Drosophila melanogaster: one gene and its partners. The protein of the gene in region 1 purifies or fractionates together with the protein of each later gene. This does not show direct contact. Each region holds a gene or a part of one and is shown on either strand. Other genes may lie near its edges. The genes, in order: Gcn5, Atac2 and Nipped-A.

Region 1 (3,756 bases):
ATTCTTAAAGTGTATAACTTGGCTTTCGCCTTTTCCGAAGCATTAAAACTCAGTGTATGAAGTGAACTAGAAATGCTTAGCCAGTGAGTTAGCATGTAGCTGTTCCAACTTTAAATAGACTCCAGATTTCAAAGCTCTCACTTAGCAAATAAGCTTATACCATACCCTTTTAAATAACGTTTTCATCCGTTTACAGACGAGGACAACAGCTCAACCTGGTTTGGCTCCGACCGCGATTACACATACGACGAGTTGCTGAAGCGGGTCTTCGAAATCATTCTCGACAAGAATCCGGACATGGCCGCCGGCCGAAAGCCAAAGTTCGTGATGCGACCGCCGCAGGTGCTGCGCGTGGGAACCAAGAAGACCTCCTTTGCCAACTTCATGGACATTGCGAAAACGCTGCATCGCCTGCCCAAGCATCTGCTCGATTTCCTGCTGGCCGAGTTGGGTACCAGTGGCTCCATGGACGGCAACCAGCAGCTGATCATCAAGGGCCGTTTCCAGCCCAAACAGATCGAGAATGTGCTGCGTCGCTACATCAAGGAGTACGTCACCTGTCACACCTGCCGCTCCCCGGAAACGATATTGCAGAAGGACACGCGTCTCTTCTTCCTGCAGTGCGAATCCTGTGGCTCCCGCTGCTCGGTGGCCAGCATTAAGTCAGGTTTCCAGGCTGTCACCGGCAAACGTGCCGCCATACGAGCAAAAACAACCTAAATTCTCCTTATTTAAAACTTTTTGAATTTTTATTACCAGTAAAATTTCAATACAAAAAACCAACGATACTATTTATTTGTTGTATTCTGCATTGTTTTATGCCTTCGTTGCCAGTCGGTTAGGTAGTCTACGAAGCCAATTTCCATATTCCGCGATCGGCCGCTGTCTATGAAGAACTGAAAAGCGTCCAGACCCATCTTGCCGCGGAACCTATTCGGACGACCGCGCAGGAATAGGCTGTGGCCCCTCGAGATGCGCGTGGGATCAATGTACTCCATGGAGACCTGCAGCAGCCGCATCATGCTCACGGCAATGCTCTTGTAGGCCTCGGACGAGGCCAGCGAACTGGCTTCACTGTACAGGCTGCTGATCACGCGTCCATTGAAGGGTTTTTTGGTGATGCTGGCCTCCAGGGAGCCGGTGCCATCATCGATCATGAACTTCATGAACGACTCGTTGTGCGTTCCATTGCCAGTTACAAAGGCGTAGATGATGCAGGTGCAGAAGTGAATCGGATGCACGTCGTCTGTGATGAACACATTCTCGTTCTCCGGATCCTGAGTTGCGCGCTCAATCTGGGATATGGTCAGCGGCACGTTGTCGTGGACCTCCGGACCACATTTGCCCGTGGACTTTTCACTCTGTTGATTCTTGCGTATCACGAAGTTATCCAGCTGGCTTTCTATGTCCTCGAAACTCTGATTAAAATCCATTCTATTTGCTTAGTCTGCGATTTCAAAGGGGATTTCTTTATTGCAGTGCATTTTGCATTAGCGCCAAAAAAAAAAACAGTTGTGAGCATGGGCGTAGACTTCGTATTTTCTTACAAATAATATTAATTAAAATTAATTTTGTGAGCAATTTTCACACAATTGTATTATAAGTTAAAACCAGGGTCACATTAATTTGCAGAACCGCGCAATATTTTCTTTTTAACCCCCTTACAAATTTTCAGTTGTTTTGACTACGCCCCTGCTAATTTTTACTTATTAAATTCAAAGTCTAAAAACATTGTCACCAGATAATACGAGTATACACTATATGGACAAACGTAAAATCGTTAATAGAATATATATATTCAACCATTATTTCACCACCGAGAGAAATTCATTTGCACAAAACGCCAGGTTGGCAGCACCATCATTGCGCACAGCAAGTGGGCAAACTCGTTGTATCGCTTGTGAAATTTAAGGAAAAGTACACTTTGTTCAAAACTAACGAAGAGAATCGCAATATCTGCCGATCTTGGAATGTCTGGTGGTCCATCCATAACGATAAAAAGCCAACCAATCGATGGTAACAACACGGGCAACGCTGCGGCGCAACAGCAGCAGCAGGCAGCGAATGGCGCAGCAACCGCTGGTGCATCTGGAGCCGCTGGCAGCGCCCAGAATCCAGGACACGGAGGAGCTGCGTCCGGCGCTGGCAGTGTGCCGGCAGAGGGAACGCGCCAGAACAGCCTACAGCGCATTCAGCAGCGAAAGCAAAAGGTCTTCAATCTGCCCGTGCCACAGAAACTGGCCAAATTGTCGATGTATTCCGCCTGCCAGTCTGAGGGATGCCGTTGCACCGGCTGGAAGACACCGCAGGAAAATCGCCACCGTGACGTCGAGTCCTCCTACTGTCCGGAGTTCAACGAGGAGTGCCGCAACACCAGCTGTCGCCATTCGCTGAGATCGCACATAGCCCATCTGGACAATATATCCAGTTCCAGCATGAACGAGCTACTGGGCGCCATTATAGACATGGAGAACCTATTCATGTCCATGCAGCGCGTCGAGGACGAGGACACCAAGAAGGTGTACCAGTACCTCTTCCGTTTGCTGCGCCAGTGCGTCCTCACGCGCCAGCAGGCGGTCATCCGGGGTCCTCTCGGCGATCCACCATTCGAGACGCCGTGCATCACCAAGGCTGTGCTCTCGTTGGTCTTCTACAAGTACAATCACCTGAGCACGCCTGAACTCCAAACCATGACCGAGGTGGCCAAGACGTTCTTGAACTTTCTGAACCACTACAACTTTGAATCGCCGTCGACCAGGAGAGGAGATCTCACCCACGAGGATGCCTCTAACTACAAAATCAACTACACCAGGTGGTTGGTGTTCTGCCACGTGCCCGCCTTCTGTAACTCCCTGCGCCAATGTGAAACGTCCCTAGTGTTTGGACGAACGCTCCTGCGCACCGTTTTCCAGTGCATGTCGCAGCAGCTGAAAAAGAAGTGCATCTCCGAGCGGGATCGCTTTCCCGAGGACAAGCGTTCGATCATCACGCTGATGCCGAAGTTTTTGGAAACGCTTCGCGCCGAATTGCTCAAGGATGATTCGCCCATCTGGGATACCAGCTACCGCCCGTCAAATTCCTTTGTCATCCAGCAGAGAAAGCGTAACCAGGAGGTGGCAAATGTACCCATTGGTCCCAGTGCAGCAAGCATTGGTGGAAACAAGAGGACCAGTGTGGGTGAACCGCTCCACAAGCGAATCAAAAAGGAGCCCACCGATCGTCCAAGCAGGTTGGTAATCAGTTTTTTCTTCTTTCAATACATTTACTAATCGTCCTGCCGCAGTGAGAATTTGGATGACCTGCCTGCGGATGTAGTAATGCGCGCCATGAAATCGGTGTCCGAGTCGAAGACCACCAACAAAGCGGAAATTCTCTTTCCGGTTAATGTGTCGCGGGATGAGAACGTCAAGGCGGAGGAGCAGAAGCGAGCCATTGAGTTCCATGTGGTGGGCAATTCGCTGACCAAACCGGTGGACAAGCAGACTGTTTTGTGGCTACTGGGCCTGCAGCTCGTATTTGCCTATCAGCTACCCGAGATGCCGCGCGAGTACATCAGCCAGTTGGTTTTCGACACCAAGCACAAAACACTGGCGCTCATCAAGGAAAACCAACCCATCGGCGGCATCTGTTTCCGCCCGTTTCCGTCGCAAGGCTTCACCGAGATCGTTTTCTGCGCGGTCACCATGTCGGAACAAGTTAAGGGCTATGGCACGCACTTGATGAACCACTTGAAGGACTACAGCATACAGAGGGGTA
Region 2 (3,756 bases), on another chromosome or scaffold:
TTGTATCTACTAAAGAAGTGTAATAGAGATCCAGACACAATTACACCTGACTGCAAAGAATTTAACAATTATTGTTAAATTATATAACTTATAATGCTATTTAATCAAATATTCATCGAGCATCGTATATATTTTCTCAGTGCATCGGCTGGTAGCAGCCCCACTAATAACGCTAATGGCTTCGATTAAGTGACAGCCAGACGGCGTTTGTTTGCCCCTCACGATGGGGGGATGCCCCCATATCCTTCCCTTACTTTTCCCTTTGTGCCAGGACCTGGCCTTAAATCGTTCGGAAAACGGTCAAGCCATGGCCGTGGAGCTAAGGTGCAATAAGTCTGGTGATTGAGAGCAAATACGGTTGTTATGAACAAAATGGGTGGCCAAACAAATTCTAACCAGCATCGCATCTGTAAATGTCATAATCAGCTAGTAAACGACTATCCAATTTGTCAAGCTCTTTCCAGAAAATATTTACCCTCGAGCTTTAAGTGATTTATGAGTGAAACTCATTTTAACTTTCGCAAAACTAAGATATAGATATACTTTAAAACATAATTCGGGGATATACTTTTGGCTGTAGTAGCACCAACAAATTAATTTGTTTCACCATATTTTTCGCTCTTTTCGACTTGCCAGCGGGCAGTCGCGAATTAAATGAAAATCTCCTCGAGGCGCCAGACAAGCAAGTTGAAAGGAATTCAACTACAGATATTAAAGGCAGGGAAGAACTTGAAGTGCAATATTCAAATTGAATTGAAAACGATGAGTGTTGAAGTGAAATCGTAAATAGGTGCATATCCTGTAAGATGCACAAACTGCATGCTTTGCAGTAATAATCATTCGGCAAATAGAAAGTGATTTACAAAAGAAACAATTGTGGATCCGTTCAGCTTTGGTTCTCAACTGAATACCCCACTTAGCCGGCCTGCAGTTTCGACCATCCCACTTCAGTCCATAAACCAATCATGCACTTCATCAAACACACAACAACAGCAGAAGCAGAAGCAGAAGCAACAGCTTCGCCAGAACGCAGCAGCCGGCGATGCCTAATTAGGCCCGCTTAAGACAACACACTGACCGGGCCAAAAGCAATGGGGCCAGGTCCGATGGTCGATGGTCTGCCGGAAACAGCCTTAATTATGCGTAAGCCGTAAAGAGCCCATTAATGTCATTTTCGTTGCATGGCCAAAGGACGCTGGGCGTTGGGTGGTGGGTGGTGGGCGTTGGTACTAATGTGCTTGGTGGGCGTAGGGCGTGACAAACGCATGCTTGATCAAGCGAAACGGGACTGTACTAATCAAGCGGATTCTTATCTTCTAGATAGGGAGAACATAAAAAACAATCGGGATCTTTTATATAGTGTATATAAGGGCATAAGGATATGCTAGATTCGTTGAAAAGTAGGTAACTGGCATAAGAAATAACAAAAGAAAAAGTCATTCCCGACAGTATTAAGCATATATATGTAATCAGGATCAGTGGACGAGTCGATTAAAACGTGTCCTTCTGTTCGTCCGTATAAGCGCTGTGATCTCGGGAACTTAAAAGTTAGGAAGCTAAGATGGAGCAATCAGATTCTAGACATGTAGACGCATCACAGTTTGTTTCAGAAGAATGCCACGCCCACTCTAACGCCCACCAAGAGCTCAAAACTTTTAAAAAGTGTTTTGATATTTGCTTGCAATTTCTAAAAATGTGACAAGAAAATGTTGAATACACCTGAGAAGAGGGTATATAATATGCGAAGACCATAGCCTTGTCTCTGTTCCATATTAATTAAAAATGCTTATTTATGACATTTTAACAATAAAAAATTATTTTAAATTATGTTAATGCTGACATCTTCGGCATTTTAAAACGGCAATGTTAATAAATAAATAAGTGCTTAATAATAATATGTTTTGTAGTGCTTCAGAAAAGATCAATTAAGAATACAAATTAATTTTATTTTTTGTTTTCCCAATTCAAATTATTGACAAATTTGAACCGAGCACAGTGCGATTTTTTGGTATTTTCAAAATGTAAGCTTCTCATATATATGGTATAAACCAAAAAGTGCGAAACGGTAACACACAAACAACACATTATTTTGTTGATTGTTTTTAACTTGCAATTTGTGCTGTTTTACTGAGTAAATGAATCGGCCCAGTAACTGGGATGATCCCCAGGGACCATGCCGCTACTGTGAATCGCCGGTGGAGGACGACAACTACCTGGAGTGCCAGGAATGCAGGCGGATGGTTCACATCAAATGCCTGCCGCATGCTTGCACGCCCGGAGATCTTTTAGGCGACGTTTTCTTCGAGTTCACGTGCGTCAAGTGTGTGCTGGATAAAGCTAAGGAATCGGTCATACCCTCAGATCTAGAACCCATTAAGGAAGTGATCGTGCGCCAAAGGATACCTTGGCTGCTGGTGCTCACCCTAACGCTCTACAATCTGTCCATCAAACAAAAGGGCTTGGGACACCATGGATTCTTCCATTGGCGCACGCACATCATCAGTTTTGTGGACAAGAACTGGAACTATATATTCGGTCCCAATGTGTAAGTATTCGTAAATGAATAATTTCCGGAGAACACATTCAATTTATTCCCCTTGTTCAGGCGGCGTCGCAAGCAATGGACTGGTTCCGTATCCGGCGCACTGTCCCACAACAGTCCGGAGTACTTTCAGTCTGGTCTGGATGTCTTTCAGGAGAACGGCTGGTGGAAACTGGCCAAGCCCTTTCAAACCCCAAGAAGCGTTCTCAAAGAATGTAAGTGCCACTTAAGTTAATGATATGATAGATTTCACAAGTCGTCACATTTCAGATGAGAAAAAGCAACAGTTGCGGCTACAAATGCGTATTGAAAAGCGGTTGCCTGCAGCGGACGAGACCAGCTGTAGCAGCGAGATCTCAGTGGCGGATCATGCCCAGGATAACCCACCGCTTATTAAAGCAGAAGCTGAGAAACCCAGTTCAACAGAGGGCTGTGCGCGAACAATGTAAGATAATTAATTTTGAATACAACTATGCGTTCCTTTCATTAAAATCTTTCACTTTTATTCCAGTCCCTACATGGGCCGTTTGCCAAAGATACAAACACAACCTTCACCCTTGTCACAGGAAACGCTTCCAGGGCCACCAATTCTTCAAGAAAATATAGCGCCACCAAGTCAGAAGGAGGAAGAACCACAGAATCAGCCTATGAGCATGGTCCAAGCAGGCCTGATGGATTTTCTGGCTGAAAGTTTGGAAAGCGATGATTTTACCATGTTTGGTAACCTACCAGGCATAATGCCCCCACCCCTGATTGGAGCGGGTAAAAATGATTTCTTCATGACCGAGCCGTTGCTTCACGCACCTTTGAATAATGAAGGTCTTTTCGACATGGATACAAATTTTGCCATACCAAATACCGCTGATGAGACCAAACCCATATCAACAGAAGAACCTGCAGCCGAAAGCAGCGAGGAACAAAAAGAAGGCGAGGTAGAAGATGAAAAGCCAGAAGAGGACGAATCACCCGACTATCAGCCACGCATCGTACAGGTTACAAATTACCAGGCGCAAGAGGCAAACGAAAGCATCAAAGAGGAACCACTAGAAGAGATAATGCAAGATGATGACGTCACGACAAATAGCAAATCCTCTATCCTAGAGCCTTGCAAACCGAGTGGATTTGTCAGACAACCACGGCGAAATTGGCCCTGGTTGCAGGAGGCGCAGGATCCCGATGACATGGCCATTCCTAGCGAAAATCTCAAACTAATA
Region 3 (3,756 bases), on another chromosome or scaffold:
GCCCGTAGCCATTTCTTCCATTCATTTCGGAGGGTTGCCCGTCGATCGCCTCGCACTGAAACGGTTTTATGACAATGGTTTTATTTCCAATATGGGACCTAGAGTTGGGGTTTATAACGAAAACAACTATTAGATGTTTAATTTGTCTTGTAATTATTACCCATCCCTAATTCAATAATATCCCCGATTTACATTTGGGGATTAGTTGTTTTCGTTTGTTTGTTTGTTGTTTCTTCTTTGGCTTGCGGAGGGTAGCCTGCTCCACCCGACCTTTATATTATTATTATTTTTTTATGGAACTCAGATTAATTACCTAGCTCTTTTCTTAATAGCTGGTAATAATTTCTTTTCTTCTATTTTTAGATTTATTTGTTTATGTGTTTTTATTAATTTCTTTTTTTATATGTTTTGGCTTGTACCACAGCTCCTCTCTGTAGAGCTCGGCTTCAAAATTCTTTATCTTGCTTTTCTTAATATGCTTTGGCTTATACCATTACTCAGCTTATTTATTTCAGTTCACTTGGCTGTCGGTTGAAGTCATTGAAGTCATATTATTAATATTGCCTTCAATAATTAGAAGTCTTGCAGTTCGATCGCTCGATCGACCGCACTGGAGTGTTAGGTGTCAACGTCGCGTTCCGATGCTTAGTTGATTGCAATGCCGGCCGCCACAGGGATCTTTTGAAATATACACTAGTCGGCATAAGTATTTTGACAAAAAAAAGCTGCACACTTGTCAGTGAAACTTTTAAATGGCTTGATATGGTAGTATTGACTATTTTTTATTTTTTGTGTGTAATTAATATAAACTTAAAAATGAACAAACGAAATTGTTTTTATTTAAATTTAAAAAGTTATAAGAAACTTAATGAAATATGATGATTTTTTGTTTCGGCATAAGTAATTTGACAGGCCTTCAATTCAAGGTAAATAAGTCTAAATGAAGCTGGATTAGCTCCTTATTGAAAAAATGAATTTGGTTTATCCGTTTCTTTCGTCATCTATGACGATATGACCCACCATTGAATATTGAATATTGAATATTGAAATATTGGCACTCCTTTATTTATTATACCATTGAAGTAATAATCCGAGCATTTCGACCGACTATATTAAAGAACATAATAAAAAATCTAGTTATACCGAATTATTACTACATCCACAAATAAACGGAGCTAAATGTTCTTGTGATTAAATCCATCACTAACAATACACATTATTTAGTATTTTGTATGTTGATTTCCCTACACGTAAATATTTATAGAATAACACAGTTATTGAAATAAAATAGCAATAAAAAACATTTAAATTTAACTTAAAGATAGACAAGCCTGTATCCTGCAGTAAACATGCAAATAAGATGGAATTAATTCCGTGCCAATTTTTAACACTGAAGGTTGTGAAAGGTTTAATATAGATGCATCTCTGTGGGAGCTCTATATTATATAAAAAATTGAAGCATTTCTAAAATATTTTTGCGTTCCTGTTTCAAAATTTCTTATATGCTATCTTGACAAACAATTAAATCGAATATATCGGTCATACAATTTCCGACTATTCCTTTTTGTTTACAGCGGTCAAGTTGTTGAACGAGTTAAAAGGCACAATGTCGGTTATTGAAAATGTACCGGTGAATACATTTCGGAATTATTTAAATATTTTAAATGATTCCTCTTCTAAAGACGAACTTAAGCTGAAAGCTACTCAAGAGCTAAGTGAACACTTTGAAATGATAATGCAAAGTCCGGCATATCCGTCGTTCTTAGATAATTCTTTAAAAATATTTATGCGGATACTTCAGGATGGCGAACCTCAGTTCATTCAAGAAAATACAATGCAACACGTAAGTTTTAAAATTCACCATTGCATGGGCCTTAAATGAAGAAACCATGTTTGGTTGAAATAACTGTCAATGAATTTCGGCTTAAATATATGTAGTTATCTTTTAAAATGCAAAGTTGAAAATATTTTGTGTTTACATTTGTAACTCCCAATAATCGGAACTTTTATGTTTGTACAATACAATTATTTTATTAATATATTTTATATACTTATTTATGTAAAGCTATCTATATAGTACTATAGGGAAACCTTTCGGTGCCCTAGTAACAATCTTTTAAAACTGAAAACCACTGTTTCTGATATTTAAAACGACCGTGCATTGTGTTTGTGCTACGCAACTTTAAGTTTTGCGCAGATATTATGCATACATTGCCAGAAGAAGTATTATTTAAAGCATAACTTTGATTGCAAAAAAAGAGTATATTTTTATTATCGATGTCGACTTCATTAATTTTAAAATTTGAAACACATTTATTATTTATTACGTCCGTAGGTTTTCTTAGGTAGTATTATGTTTGGCAAACCAATAAAAATTTGAAAGTCACATAAAATAAAAAATTCAACAGATTTCTCAAATATGTGGGCGTGGGGTGTTTTGAACAGCTTGCCGGCGGGGTAACATGCGACTAAGTCTCTGTAGACTCGGCTAGTGATCCTGATCAGCGGAAGTTTCTTAACCCATGTTGTCTGGGGCCTGCTTACATATTCAGCACTGTTCTCAGATAAAAGAATAAGCAGAGAGGGAGACTCCACCTAATGCAAACAAGCAGTATCCAAAGCGGAGTTACCGAATAATGTAAACTAAAGGTTTTTTTTTTGCTTTTACTCTACGAGCAACGGGTATAATCATATATAATAAAATATGTCATCAAAGTTAGGCTTTAAGTGTTTACGCTGATACGGATGATACTGTTCCATAATGACTCCATTTTGCATCAGTTGGCGGTGGCTATATCTGGCACGGATTAGAAGATTTTTAATGTGCCTTCTTATATTCACCCGCCTCACATCTCAAATCTAAGAAATAAATTTTACTAGAGTTTTGTCCAATGATGTCCGAAACGTGCGATCAAAAAAGGGAAAAAATATCATTGTTTTAAGACATTGCATGGATATACTTTTTTGCGGGATAAGGAAAATAATGGTTTATACGAGATTATGCTGCAATCTACAATGTCGCCGTAGAACCTGTTTGCGTAGTACCGCCTCAAATTGAAAAGGAGCAGATTTTTGCAAACTCGCATTGACTTTTTGGGACATGCCATTGAAGGTGGGCAAATGTGGCAGGCCAAAAAATATTAAAGCTGTACAATCATTTCTGGGGCTAACAGGATTTTTCAGAAAATTTGTTCCAGGATATGCTTTAATCGCGCGTCCGCTGAAAATTTTTTTTGAAAAAAGATGCACTTTTCTACATTGGTGAACATTAAGCCATACAGCAATTAAAAGACGACTCAGACATTCCCGTACGGCAAATTTACACAAGAGATGCAGAGACAGAACTACACAGTGGCTCTTTAAAGGATGAATTTGGAGCTGTGTTGCGGCAGATGGTGGACGGCAGTTTTCATCCGGTTTATTATTGGAGCAGGAAGACTTCCGAAGCCGAATGAAAGCGACATAGCTATTACTAAGAAGACAAAGCAGCGTACATAGGTATGAAGAAGTTTCGTCACTACCTGCTAGGAATATAGTTCAAGCTCATTACAGATTGTGTCGCTTTTTAGCAGACTACAACCAAACAAGACGTACCGAGAGATGTAGGACCATGGATTATGTAAATTCAAGACTTCACTTTTACAGTAGAACACCGTGCCGCAGAAAAAATTAAGCATGTTGACTGCCTTAGTCGCTTTCCATAGAGTATGAGGGTTACTACAGAGATTACGTATTAAAAAAGCCCAGCAGGACGAC

What was found.
Region 2: the proteins of Gcn5 (region 1) and Atac2 purify together in Drosophila melanogaster (affinity purification with mass spectrometry; 4 studies listed by BioGRID, with this or other methods). This does not show direct contact.
Region 3: the proteins of Gcn5 (region 1) and Nipped-A purify together in Drosophila melanogaster (affinity purification with western blotting; 4 studies listed by BioGRID). This does not show direct contact.

What each region holds. Positions count from the first base shown.
Region 1 is NT_037436.4:12,522,118-12,525,873, reverse strand, and holds the start of Gcn5 (Gcn5 acetyltransferase), read left to right. Parts: upstream 1-1,859; 5' UTR 1,860-1,970; coding exon 1,971-3,229; intron 3,230-3,283; coding exon 3,284-3,756. Other genes in the region: eIF2beta (eukaryotic translation initiation factor 2 subunit beta), read left to right, coding at 197-720; ver (verrocchio), read right to left, coding at 789-1,433.
Region 2 is NT_033779.5:18,610,558-18,614,313, reverse strand, and holds the start of Atac2 (Ada2a-containing complex component 2), read left to right. Parts: upstream 1-2,064; 5' UTR 2,065-2,135; coding exon 2,136-2,545; intron 2,546-2,605; coding exon 2,606-2,757; intron 2,758-2,812; coding exon 2,813-2,987; intron 2,988-3,053; coding exon 3,054-3,756.
Region 3 is NT_033778.4:5,248,816-5,252,571, reverse strand, and holds the start of Nipped-A (Nipped-A), read left to right. Parts: upstream 1-1,549; 5' UTR 1,550-1,606; coding exon 1,607-1,843; intron 1,844-3,756. UniProt on the Drosophila melanogaster protein: Part of the Tip60 chromatin-remodeling complex which is involved in DNA repair. Upon induction of DNA double-strand breaks, this complex acetylates phosphorylated H2AV in nucleosomes and exchanges it with unmodified H2AV.